2 linked regions of the Rattus norvegicus genome follow. The protein of the gene in region 2 interacts with the protein of the main gene of each other region in a pairwise test. Links are inferred from orthologs where the notes say so. Each region holds a gene or a part of one and is shown on either strand. Other genes may lie near its edges.

Evidence for each region.
Region 1: the proteins of Grn (region 2) and Smad9 interact in binary tests that used the Homo sapiens proteins (3 or more experiments, as listed by UniProt). The link is inferred for Rattus norvegicus from reciprocal best matches to the Homo sapiens genes GRN and SMAD9.

What each region holds. Positions count from the first base shown.
Region 1 is NC_086020.1:141,105,241-141,110,064, reverse strand, and holds the start of Smad9 (mothers against decapentaplegic homolog 9), read right to left. Parts: upstream 3,398-4,824; 5' UTR 3,249-3,397; intron 1-3,248. UniProt on the Homo sapiens protein: Transcriptional modulator activated by BMP (bone morphogenetic proteins) type 1 receptor kinase. SMAD9 is a receptor-regulated SMAD (R-SMAD).
Region 2 is NC_086028.1:87,886,140-87,891,196, reverse strand, and holds the start of Grn (progranulin isoform a precursor), read right to left. Parts: upstream 3,364-5,057; 5' UTR 3,347-3,363; coding exon 3,315-3,346; exon of another isoform or gene 3,163-3,314; intron 981-3,162; coding exon 836-980; intron 724-835; coding exon 598-723; intron 476-597; coding exon 391-475; intron 36-390; coding exon 1-35. UniProt on the Homo sapiens protein: Secreted protein that acts as a key regulator of lysosomal function and as a growth factor involved in inflammation, wound healing and cell proliferation. Regulates protein trafficking to lysosomes, and also the activity of lysosomal enzymes.

The sequences.
Region 1 (4,824 bases), on a different chromosome or scaffold from region 2:
CTTTCCCCGACTGACTGTACCGCTCAGCCACAGTGTTCCCAGGGGAGGCCCACCTGGGGTGACTGGAGCTCAGGATGCCTTCCCCTCTGGGCTGACATCAACTCCTCACTTCTGCACGAGTCCTCAGCTCACCTGCACACTGGCTTTGAAAGATGGACTTTTAAGACCTAGTCTACGGGTAAAATTCTCTTATAGATTTTATTTCAGAAGGGAACGGCCTCAATAAAGAGAGTTTTTCACTTAATGAATATCTACTGACCGAGTCCTGAGCCAGGCACTGCAGTCAACAGTAAAGGGGGAGAAGGCAGAGGAAGCTCAGTTCCCTCCTGACCTTTAAGGACCACCTGAGAGGAAGAGTAAGTGTTGTTAGAGCATGTTCTGCAAAGCCACACAGGAGAGTCAAAGGGCTCACCGGAGGACATCCCCCCCACTAAGGTTATCAGAGAAAATCCTGCCGGTAGCACTTGGACAGAATCTACAAAATGAGGAGTTGTCCAGCAAATACGGGGCTCTGGTGGGAGACGAGGGCAGAGGGAGAGGCTTTCTGAGACTGAGCCTAGGTTCAGGGAAATAGGCCGATAAGAGGAAAGTCTGGTGTGCATGGGAAACTGTAACTCACTCTTGAAACCCCAATGGGAGGCATGAAAAAGTAAGTCTGGCAGAGGGCACCCTGTGTGAGGCAGACCAGGGGGGAATCTAGGTTTCAACTGCTAGCAGGGTGAAGACACATCAAGATGAGTACCCAGTTGTCATGGTCCTGATAGCATTTAATGCTGGCATTATTCTTAAAATCCTAATGACTTGGGTCGGCACAGACATAATTTCCAGGAGTATTTGCTTTTAGAGGTTAGTTCACTGCCAGGGAATATCTGTTTACTTTACTCTGTCCCTGTTCTTACACAGACCTTCACCAGGTTAACACAACACCCTACTGCCTGCTCACGGCATCAAAATAAAACTTAGGCGACTTTCCAAATCACTGACAAAAATCACAAAGGGACCAACACCCCAACAGTCGAGGATCGCAACAATTTGAGGGGATCCGCACTTTCAACCTCCACCCAGTTTACTGGTTTATTCTGGATACAGCCGTTTCTGAATTCCTCGGTCCGCACAAGAATAAACAGAAGTCCACACTAAGCTCTGTTAAAACATTAGGATTTAATGCCATGTTTCAAAAAATAAAACAGGAATGTTTCTATCATAGCCCTGAGCTTCCCACCACTGGAGCATACCCCTGGGTAAGTATGATTTAGATCATATAGGAGCATGATGATGAGACTGTGTTCTTGTACTAGAGAGGGAGGGAAGGTCAGATGTAATCAGCTGCCTTAATGCGGCAGGCAGTGACCATCCATCTCTCTCCAGCTTGGCAAAACACATTGCACTCCTGTCCATCAGAGCTCCATTATTTGTAAAGCTGATATTAAATTCTTTCATGGATATGAAAGAATAGTTTCTTGGGGTTTTTTTTTCTCTCCTCCAATTTGACCACATGATCAGAAAAGATACACAAAATTTACCATTTCTGCAGTGCTTAGATAACTGTGACGAAGTTTCCTATAATGGAAATGTTTCTTTTTCCTTCCTCTGTCTTAGGTTATCAGAGATGCAGTAGCTTGGATACTGGTGAATATTTTCTGATTTGCTCATTAACTGGGGAATATGTCAGTAAAAGGAAAAAAAATTATTTAATAAAGAAAACACCAAGTGTCTCTCGCTGACTTTAAAAGACTTGTCAAGTGCTTGAGGTTAACTTTAATTTGTCTCTGATTTTCAGAAAATGCTACTGGTTAAGTGAGCTGGCTGGATCCAGACTGTGCAAGCATTCTCCAAAGCATAGCTCAAACTGGCTGGAGGTAGGGGGCAAGGGGAGGAGAGGGGAGCACCCTGACGAAGAGTAAAGTGGGGACCTTAGTGTCAGGACAGACTCAGCAGATGCTGGCTTGCAGGAAGCCGCCTTGTCATCAAGGAACCTTGCCACTACACATATGTTTTCAGAAATATTTGGCGCTTTGATAATCTTATCATATTTTAAAGGTTCCTTATTTATAAACCGCCACCCCGGTTTCTTAACAGCGATGTCCTTGAATAACCAACCACAGACTTGAAAGTGATCCAGAATCATGTTCTCTAAAGGCAGAGCATTGAATCCTAGTCATTTGCTATAGAGTGGGTTCGGGCTGTATTTTGACTTCCTTTTTACATATAGATGGATAGTCCTTCCATGTAAACATCCGAAGGCATTCCCTCTCATTGACAGGCATGCTAGCACATTTCACAACCACAAATATTCCCGGGGAATGGCCTAGGAAGAGGCATCACTTAAAGGGCCGAAGACTACTGTTATTCTCCACTCTGGTTGCTAATTACATTTTTTTTACAGAAAGTCAGCAAACCACCGAACGGTCATCCTAAAAGGAAAAGTGATTCCTAGTCTTCTGTGGCTGTGCATTCGACCGAATTACATACAATTTGTTTCCAAAAAGAGATCCACATCATTTGTAGGTTATTTCTCAATGAGTACCAGTTCCAGCCCAGAAATATGCTAACGGAGGACCTCAAAACTATCATTTTCAATTGCCATGGTCAAGGGAGGGGACAGGGGAGGGAGTAAGAAGTGCAGCGATTAGCCACCCATAAGAAGGTTCCCCACACTCCTCCTCCCACAAGGCCGGCGTCAGTCAGTCGCCTGCATCTGTCCCCACCTCGCCCCCCTCCCGTCTGCGCAGCGCTGGCACCCAATGGTAGGCCCAGGAGAAGACAAACACAACCCAAGTGCTAGCTACAGACACTTAACATTCCTAACTTTTTCCCTCTCTTTCTCACTGTGTGTGCCTCAAAGGTAAGCAGAGAAGAAAAAAAATTACAGGAATATGAAATAAGCCTTCGTAGCCAAGGGTGCCCTGGAGTTTTAAAATCTCCCCCAGAGTCACAATGACTACCTTACGCACACTAGCCTCTCTCCTGTCACTCTCCCCAGCAAAGGGCTACTTCCCAGAGCTGAGCTCCAGGGTGACTGTCTCTAGGTGCAGGACACTTCTGCACTTCTGCACTCTGCCCACGCGCATCCCACATCCCTGCCCACGCCTCGGGCCACGCGTCCTGCAATGTGTTCCAGGTGCCAGGATGCCGCGGAGCCCTCGCACACTACAGACACCACCCAGGCTCCATGGAGAGCCAAGCCCCACGCCCGAGGACCACAGGGGCTTCCCGAGTGCCCACGCCCGCGGCATGGCAGCGCTTACCTGTCCGCGCAGTGCCACGCGTGCCCCCGCGCACTCCGGTTGTGCGGGTAGCTGCAGGGCCGGCCGGGCGGCGGCGGGACCGAGACAGCGGCTCCAGAGGCGTCAGTCAGGCTGGAGCCTCCTCCTCGGCCGCCCGCGTGAGTGCGCCGCGCTGGAAGGGCGCCAGGCGGCCGTGCGCGCAGCTCCAGCCAGGAGGGGCCAAGCGCCCTGGCCGCGCCACGCTCCCCGCCCCGCCGCGCATCCGCCTGCCCTGCACATCGTGCCAGCAGATAGCCTTCAGGGACAGAGGAGTCTCCAGGTTATCCCCAGAAGTGTCCTTCCCATCTGGACCAACTGCAGGCTGCAGAGGGAGGAGGGCTGTGCCCCCACCACCACCTCCCGGAGAGGCAGACAGGACCACCAACCGTGCCTGTCTCTTGAACCGCAGAGTCCTGGTCCCTGGAGGCCATGCTTACTGGCTGTCTGTTCCTCCGAGGCATGGCTTGCCCTGGCATCAGCCCAAGAACAGCTAAATGAACTGAGTGGCAGGCAGAGTTTCAAACTAGTCCTGTAATATGTAGGTTGTGATTTCTTACCCAGTGTATAATACACGCTACTCATGATATAGATACATCATGGACACAAGGAACCTTCCTGCCCGGTGGCCTGGCTGTCTCCTAGGTTGCCTGCCTCTGAAATGCCACTTGGAAAGTGGCACTGGTGTGCCAAGGGCCTTTGATTCCCCACCAGACTTTACAGGTCTTCCAATAGGAGGAAGAGGATGGTACAGGGCCACCTCAGTCAGCCCCAGAGCACAAACATCCTCCAGAGGCCAAGGCACCTTTGAAATGTAAATGAAAGTCCTTCAGTTGAACTTCTTTTCCTAATCCCCAAACCCCCACTTTCTGGAATTATTTTTGCATCATCATCCAAGTGTAGCCCAGGAGAGCCTTGCTTATAAAAACAGATCACACAAGTTTAAATGACACTTTAACTTCAGATTGAAAGTGTCTTTCTTCACCTGGCTCACATGCCCTGCTGCAACCGCCATTTTCCTTTTTTGGGATTGACCTGGGAGAGGAAGAAACCCCAGAAGAAATGCTGTCCAGTGGTGGGAACATGGAAAGCCATTGGCTGGATGAGGACTGTGCTTCGTGTGGGCTTTGAGGCAAGTAAACAAAATAGGTTCTCTGAATCGATGCCTTGTGGCTCAGGGATTTTTCCCTCCTCCTGAAATGATATTAAAGAGAGAAATGGTCCTCCGTTTCCTCCTTCCAGGAGAGCACAAAGCACTGGAGACTTCTGCTAGGCAGGCTCAGGCTTCTGCAGTGGGGTCTGCGAAGTCATAGAAGTCTCTTGGGGGTAGGAGTGGGAGAGGCCTGTGGGTGCACTCTGTCCTTCTGGACTTTACTCCCTAAAGGTTAGGGAGATAAAGCAGTAAGACCTGGTGGGATTCAAGAAAGAGCAAACACCAGCCCTGGGGACCAACACTCATGCTGACTGGTTTCTATTGACTGTTCTGGTTGTAAAAATTCTCATCTCTATCTTCTTCTGCTATTTTTTTTTTTTTGATCATCTAATAGAAACATAATTCTTT
Region 2 (5,057 bases):
GCTACCAGGACACTGGACAGCACCCAAGAGGCTATCTGCAGATCCAAGAATCCAGAATTCCATTAATCCAGTTGGTCAAGTACCAGTACCATCACTGAAGGAACTGCAGGTCCAGCTGCAGGAGGCTTAGCGGTCAGTCCCAGGGCTTAGGTGATCTCCCAGGACCCCACCAGCTAGCTAGCCCCTACTGCTAAGACATCCAGTGAAACTGGGCTGGTGCTCAAATCACTCCGGCACGGCCTCTCTGTGTCCCACAACGCTGGAGTGTCTGTCACCTTCTTCTCTCAGAACTGCCCCTCCCAGGGCCACCCAGGCAGTTGGGCTCCTGGGCACTTCAGGTAACTCCTGATGTCCGTCCCCACGTGCCCCCTCCCCTGTGCCCCACAGCACCTGATATCTGAGAGCAGGATTTCCCATCCACACTACAGTGGAAGCCCCGGGGGCAGCAGTGCTGGCCATCATCACAAGATACACCCTATGGACGAAGAGACACCTGTGTGAGCAAGACCCTTTTGCCTGGGACTAGAAGAGTGAAGGAAAGGGGTAAATGCAGATCTTAATCAATCTCCTGTTCCCCTAAGCCAATGGCGGCCTCACCTCAGAGAACGGGCAGCAGCTGGAAGTCCCAGACACAGTGAGAAGACAAGAGTAGCCATCAGGACAGTGGTCACGGATCTGGCAGGAGCCATCTAGACGACGGCTCGTTATTATAGGCCATGTGTCCTGGAAAGAAGAGATGACATCAATCAAAGGATCTGTGCCAGTCCTCTGGCCAATCTGAGGTAGACAGTCCTTCAGAAAGCCCAGGCTGCCAACTGGGGCATGAGACACTCACCAGAAGAGGGTTACAGCAGCTGTAGTTGGCTCCTCCCTGGTCAAGGCAGCAGGCAACAGGGCAGAATTGACCATCTGGGCACTGTGTTCCAGCCACCAGCCTTGCCACTAAGGCCAGCCAGCTCACCAGGATCCACATGGTCTGCCTGCAAATGCCAAGCAAAGTCTGGCAGCCATCTTGAAGCCTGTGCCACCTTCTACTCCAAGGCTGTGCATTCCCCTGTGCTCAGGCCAAGGCCTTGGGTTTATTGAGCATTCTCAACGGGAAAGCAGGCAGATGTGTCGCTCGAGTCAGCGCCCTACCCGTGCACGGCACTCGTGTGTCAGCTTGCACTCACTGTGAGCATGAATGTTGGCAGGAACACCAGTGTCGATTCATATGGCCTAACGCCTGAGAGTCTGAGTGCGTGGAGAGGAGGGGAGGGGGTTATGACAGTCGGGAAGGCATGTGGCTTTTGTGGCTTTGATTTATGGAACTGAGGACTAATTGGGAGGCAGAAGAGACTTTAGCAGCCATAAGAGGAAGCCAGCCCCACACCATCCCGCCCGCCTAACTCCACCCCGGCCTGGTACCAAACTGTCTGCCACCTGTAGCTTTCAAAGGCCTTGGGGGACAGAGTCATCAGTCACATGATCATATGGGAAACCTAGCGGTGGAGAAAGTTGTAAAAACAGAAGTACTGTGGCCAGTGGGGTCTGGGCTGGCTTCCCTATGGGCCAGCCACTGCCTACCCACAACTGTCCCCACCCCACTCAAGGGAAGGGGACACAGAGGCTAGGTCAGCCTCAAAGCTAACTTCATGATGAGGCCTTCCGGACATCACCAGGGTCCTTTTGGACTCCTCAAACAGACTGCCTCTGTCTCTCCCTGATCAGAAATCGAAACTCAGCTGCAAGTGGGAAGAACCAGTGGACCTCTTCACTGACTCTCTGCCTCAGCAGGAGGAACTGAACCTCTCACTTCCCTATAAGCCTTTTCCCAGCTCAGATGGTCTACCCAGCAACCCAGAAAGATGTTATTCTGCCTAGAGCAGCAAACCCAGTAATATTCAAAGACCCTCCAGGGAGCCATTTTCCCCTCTCACTGTATTTCTCAGCAATCTATGAAAAGCAATAATTAAAATATTACTTTCACTTTTCAAATCCATGCCTAAGGATCAAGCCAGGGGGGAAAAGACAGGGTATTAGACTGGGTTCATATGCCAACCGTTGTCTCTGGTCATTGCCAGGGAAGGACCCTGATTCCCAGAGGCCAGAGGTGCAGAGGGATGGGGCAGAAGATTTCTTGGCAGGTGACCCAAGCAGGATAGAAGCAGGGTGGGTACAGGGACTTCGTTGAAGCTGCAGTTGGGTTTTAGTCCTGGAAGTAACACTCTAATCTATGACTGAGGGCCTCAGAAATTGTTCCTTCCCTGTGTCTCAAGTCTTCAATCTCTGCCTGGACACTGGTGGCTACAAAAGGCAGGAAATGCCACCCACGCATGGCAGGCATGCTTTTGATCCCAGCATTTGAGAGGCTGAGGTAGGAGGGTTGCAAGTGCCAGGCCAACTTGGGCTACAAGGTGAATCCGAGGGCAGCCTGGGCTACAAGGTGAATCCCAGGCCAGCCTAGGCTACATAGAAGGATCTGTCGTCTCCCCCAACCCCCTCTCTTTCCTTTTTTAGGTCCTTCCAAGTGCTCTTTAACCTAACCCCCACCCACATAAAAAAAAAAATCCCAGAGGCCATTTCCTAACCAGGAAGGGGTAAGGGAGACCCAATTCCTCTCAATAGGACTGGGGAGTGGTGAGCCCCTGACCACCTCTACATTACACAGCCAGGGAGAACCGGAGCCTTTCAAAGCCCTAGCTCCGGCATCTTCCACTAGGTGGCACCCCCCATCTCCGAGTGTCAAGGGGAGATGAATTTCCGAAAAGGTGAGCCAATCCTAATGAGAAGGAGCAGGGAAAAGTGGCGGGGAGAGGCAGGCGGAAGTTAGCTCTCTCGCCCCCAAGAAAGGAAATACAACTGACACAACCCAGGGATTCAGCCATCAGGCCCGGGTCCTGCCCCCAACCCTTCTGAGCTCTGGGGACCAAGGGCGGGAGACTCCCCACCCACTGCACGCCGCCGCGGAGACCACTTGCAGCATCAGAAAGAGAAAGAGCCGGGACCTGGAGACAGGTGGCAGGTACAGACAGAGGAGCTGGCCCAAGAGTGGGGTGGTTCCTGCCCTGGAGAAAGGCCTGCAGCTTTCCAACATGCTGGGCAAGAGGAGCCTCTTACTGGGGGTATCTACGACAACCGCTCGTCCCCCCCCCCAAAAAAAAAAAGAAAAGAAAAAAAAACCTCGTTAGTGCATCAGAAACCCCTAGAGGAGTTTCAAGAGGCAGGTCTTCTCTTGTCTCTGAGCTGAGACTCCAGAGGACCCTCAATTGCACAGCAGCCTGGTCAGGCCTCTGGACAGTAGCGGGGGAGATATCTGCAAAGGATCCTCCTACCTGCGTCGGGGTCCGCGCTCCCTGGGAGGCATCTGGCGGTCAGCTCCAGGACTAGGGCTTGGCCGCGCGATGGCCCGCCCACCTCAATTTCCATTAGCCATGGCTCAGAGATCCAGGGCTTTCATTGGTTACTTGTCTACGTAGAGGCGGGACTCTCCAGGAATGCTGTGTTTCTTTTTCTACTCATTTCACATTCCTCCTCCCTTTCCTCTGTCTCCCCACACCCCATTTCTAGGGATCATGTGATTAGAGAATCATATGACAGCATAGCCCGCCTCCCCCAGGGCAGCTCTAGCTTGTTTGGTTGCATTTAACCCCGGGTTCTGGCGGCGCCCGGCAGGGTGTTGTGAGACCAGACACCGCTTGCCTAAGGCCACCAACAGTTAAGAGAGCTGCCCTGAGGGCACACGTTCAAGGTCGTTTACTGGAGAGTGTCTGCTTCTGGATCGCGACTTTTGTACATTCTCTGCCTTTTCACGCCTGGCAGCCAGGACTCGAAAGAAGTTGAAAGATGGTTGTGAGGGTGAGGATAAATAGTCCCCTGGTTTGAACGGGGAGAGTGGCTTAGACTAAATCTAATAAAAGTTCAAAAGCGAGCACCAGTCACTATAGATGTGTGCAGAGAGAAGACAGGAGATTAGCTCAAGGTTAGGGAAGAAGAGATTAAAATCCTGCTTGATAGTGCAGCATTAAGTTGAATCTGAAAGAACTTTAAGAGGTTGATTCGAGGGGTTGGGGATTTAGCTCAGTTGTAGAGCACTTGCCTAGCAAGTGCAAGGCCCTGGGTTCGGTCCCCAGCTCCGAAAAAAAGAGGTTGATTCGGCGGGACCGAGGAACTTGAAACTAGATAGGAAAGACAGCCTCTAGTAAGGATTGAAAGCCACGTTCAAGATAAGGGCCTTTGGACTCGCACTAAGTGTGGGGCGTGGGCTTGTGGAGCAGGCTGGTGACTGTGGAGATCAAGGGGTTTCCTTGTTTCAGCTGTCCCCACCTTCGAGGAATTGTTATGGTGGGAGAATAGAGAAATTTTAAGCTGTAGAACAGATTAGCCAGAAACAAGAGCCAGGCTGCTGAGTGCCAAAGGGCCTGGCCAGACAGAGACGGTGATTGGAGAAGGGCCAAGAAGACAGACTCTAAGAAAGGCCAAGGCTGGGCCTTGGAGAAAAGACTGTGTTTGCTTTCAAGGTGGAAGCTAGGTTACCCCACTCCTACCCCTAGAAGCAGAAACCTTTACTGGGAGGCCAGTCAGGATCACGGGGTCAGCCACACAATTCAGGACAGTGGGAGTTCTGCACCGAGAGGAGTGCGGGCTTGTGGAATTCCATGAGGGCTTCTTACACTGGAGCTCCAGGAGTCTCGGAAAGTGTGTAAGACTGGAGCAGAGAATCTAACATAATTCGGTACCCTGACGATGTTAGCGTAGGTGTTCCATGACATTCGTATAGGTATCCCCAAAACAGACCACGGCTTAGGCTTCTAGTGAGACACAGCCATGATGTGGAGGTTGAGGAAGGGAGGTTGCTTAACCCCAGGAGTTGGAAACCAACCTCAGCGACATTGCAGCTCTCCCTCTGAGTCAGGGTTTCCTGTGTTCCGGACTTCAACTTGATAAGTGGCTGAGAATGACCCAGAACTTCTTGTTTTCTGCTCCCACCACGCAAGCGCCACAATTGCAAGGGCAGATAGCCATGTTTAGTTTATGCCGTGCTGGGATTAGACCCAGGGCCTTGTTCACACTGAGCA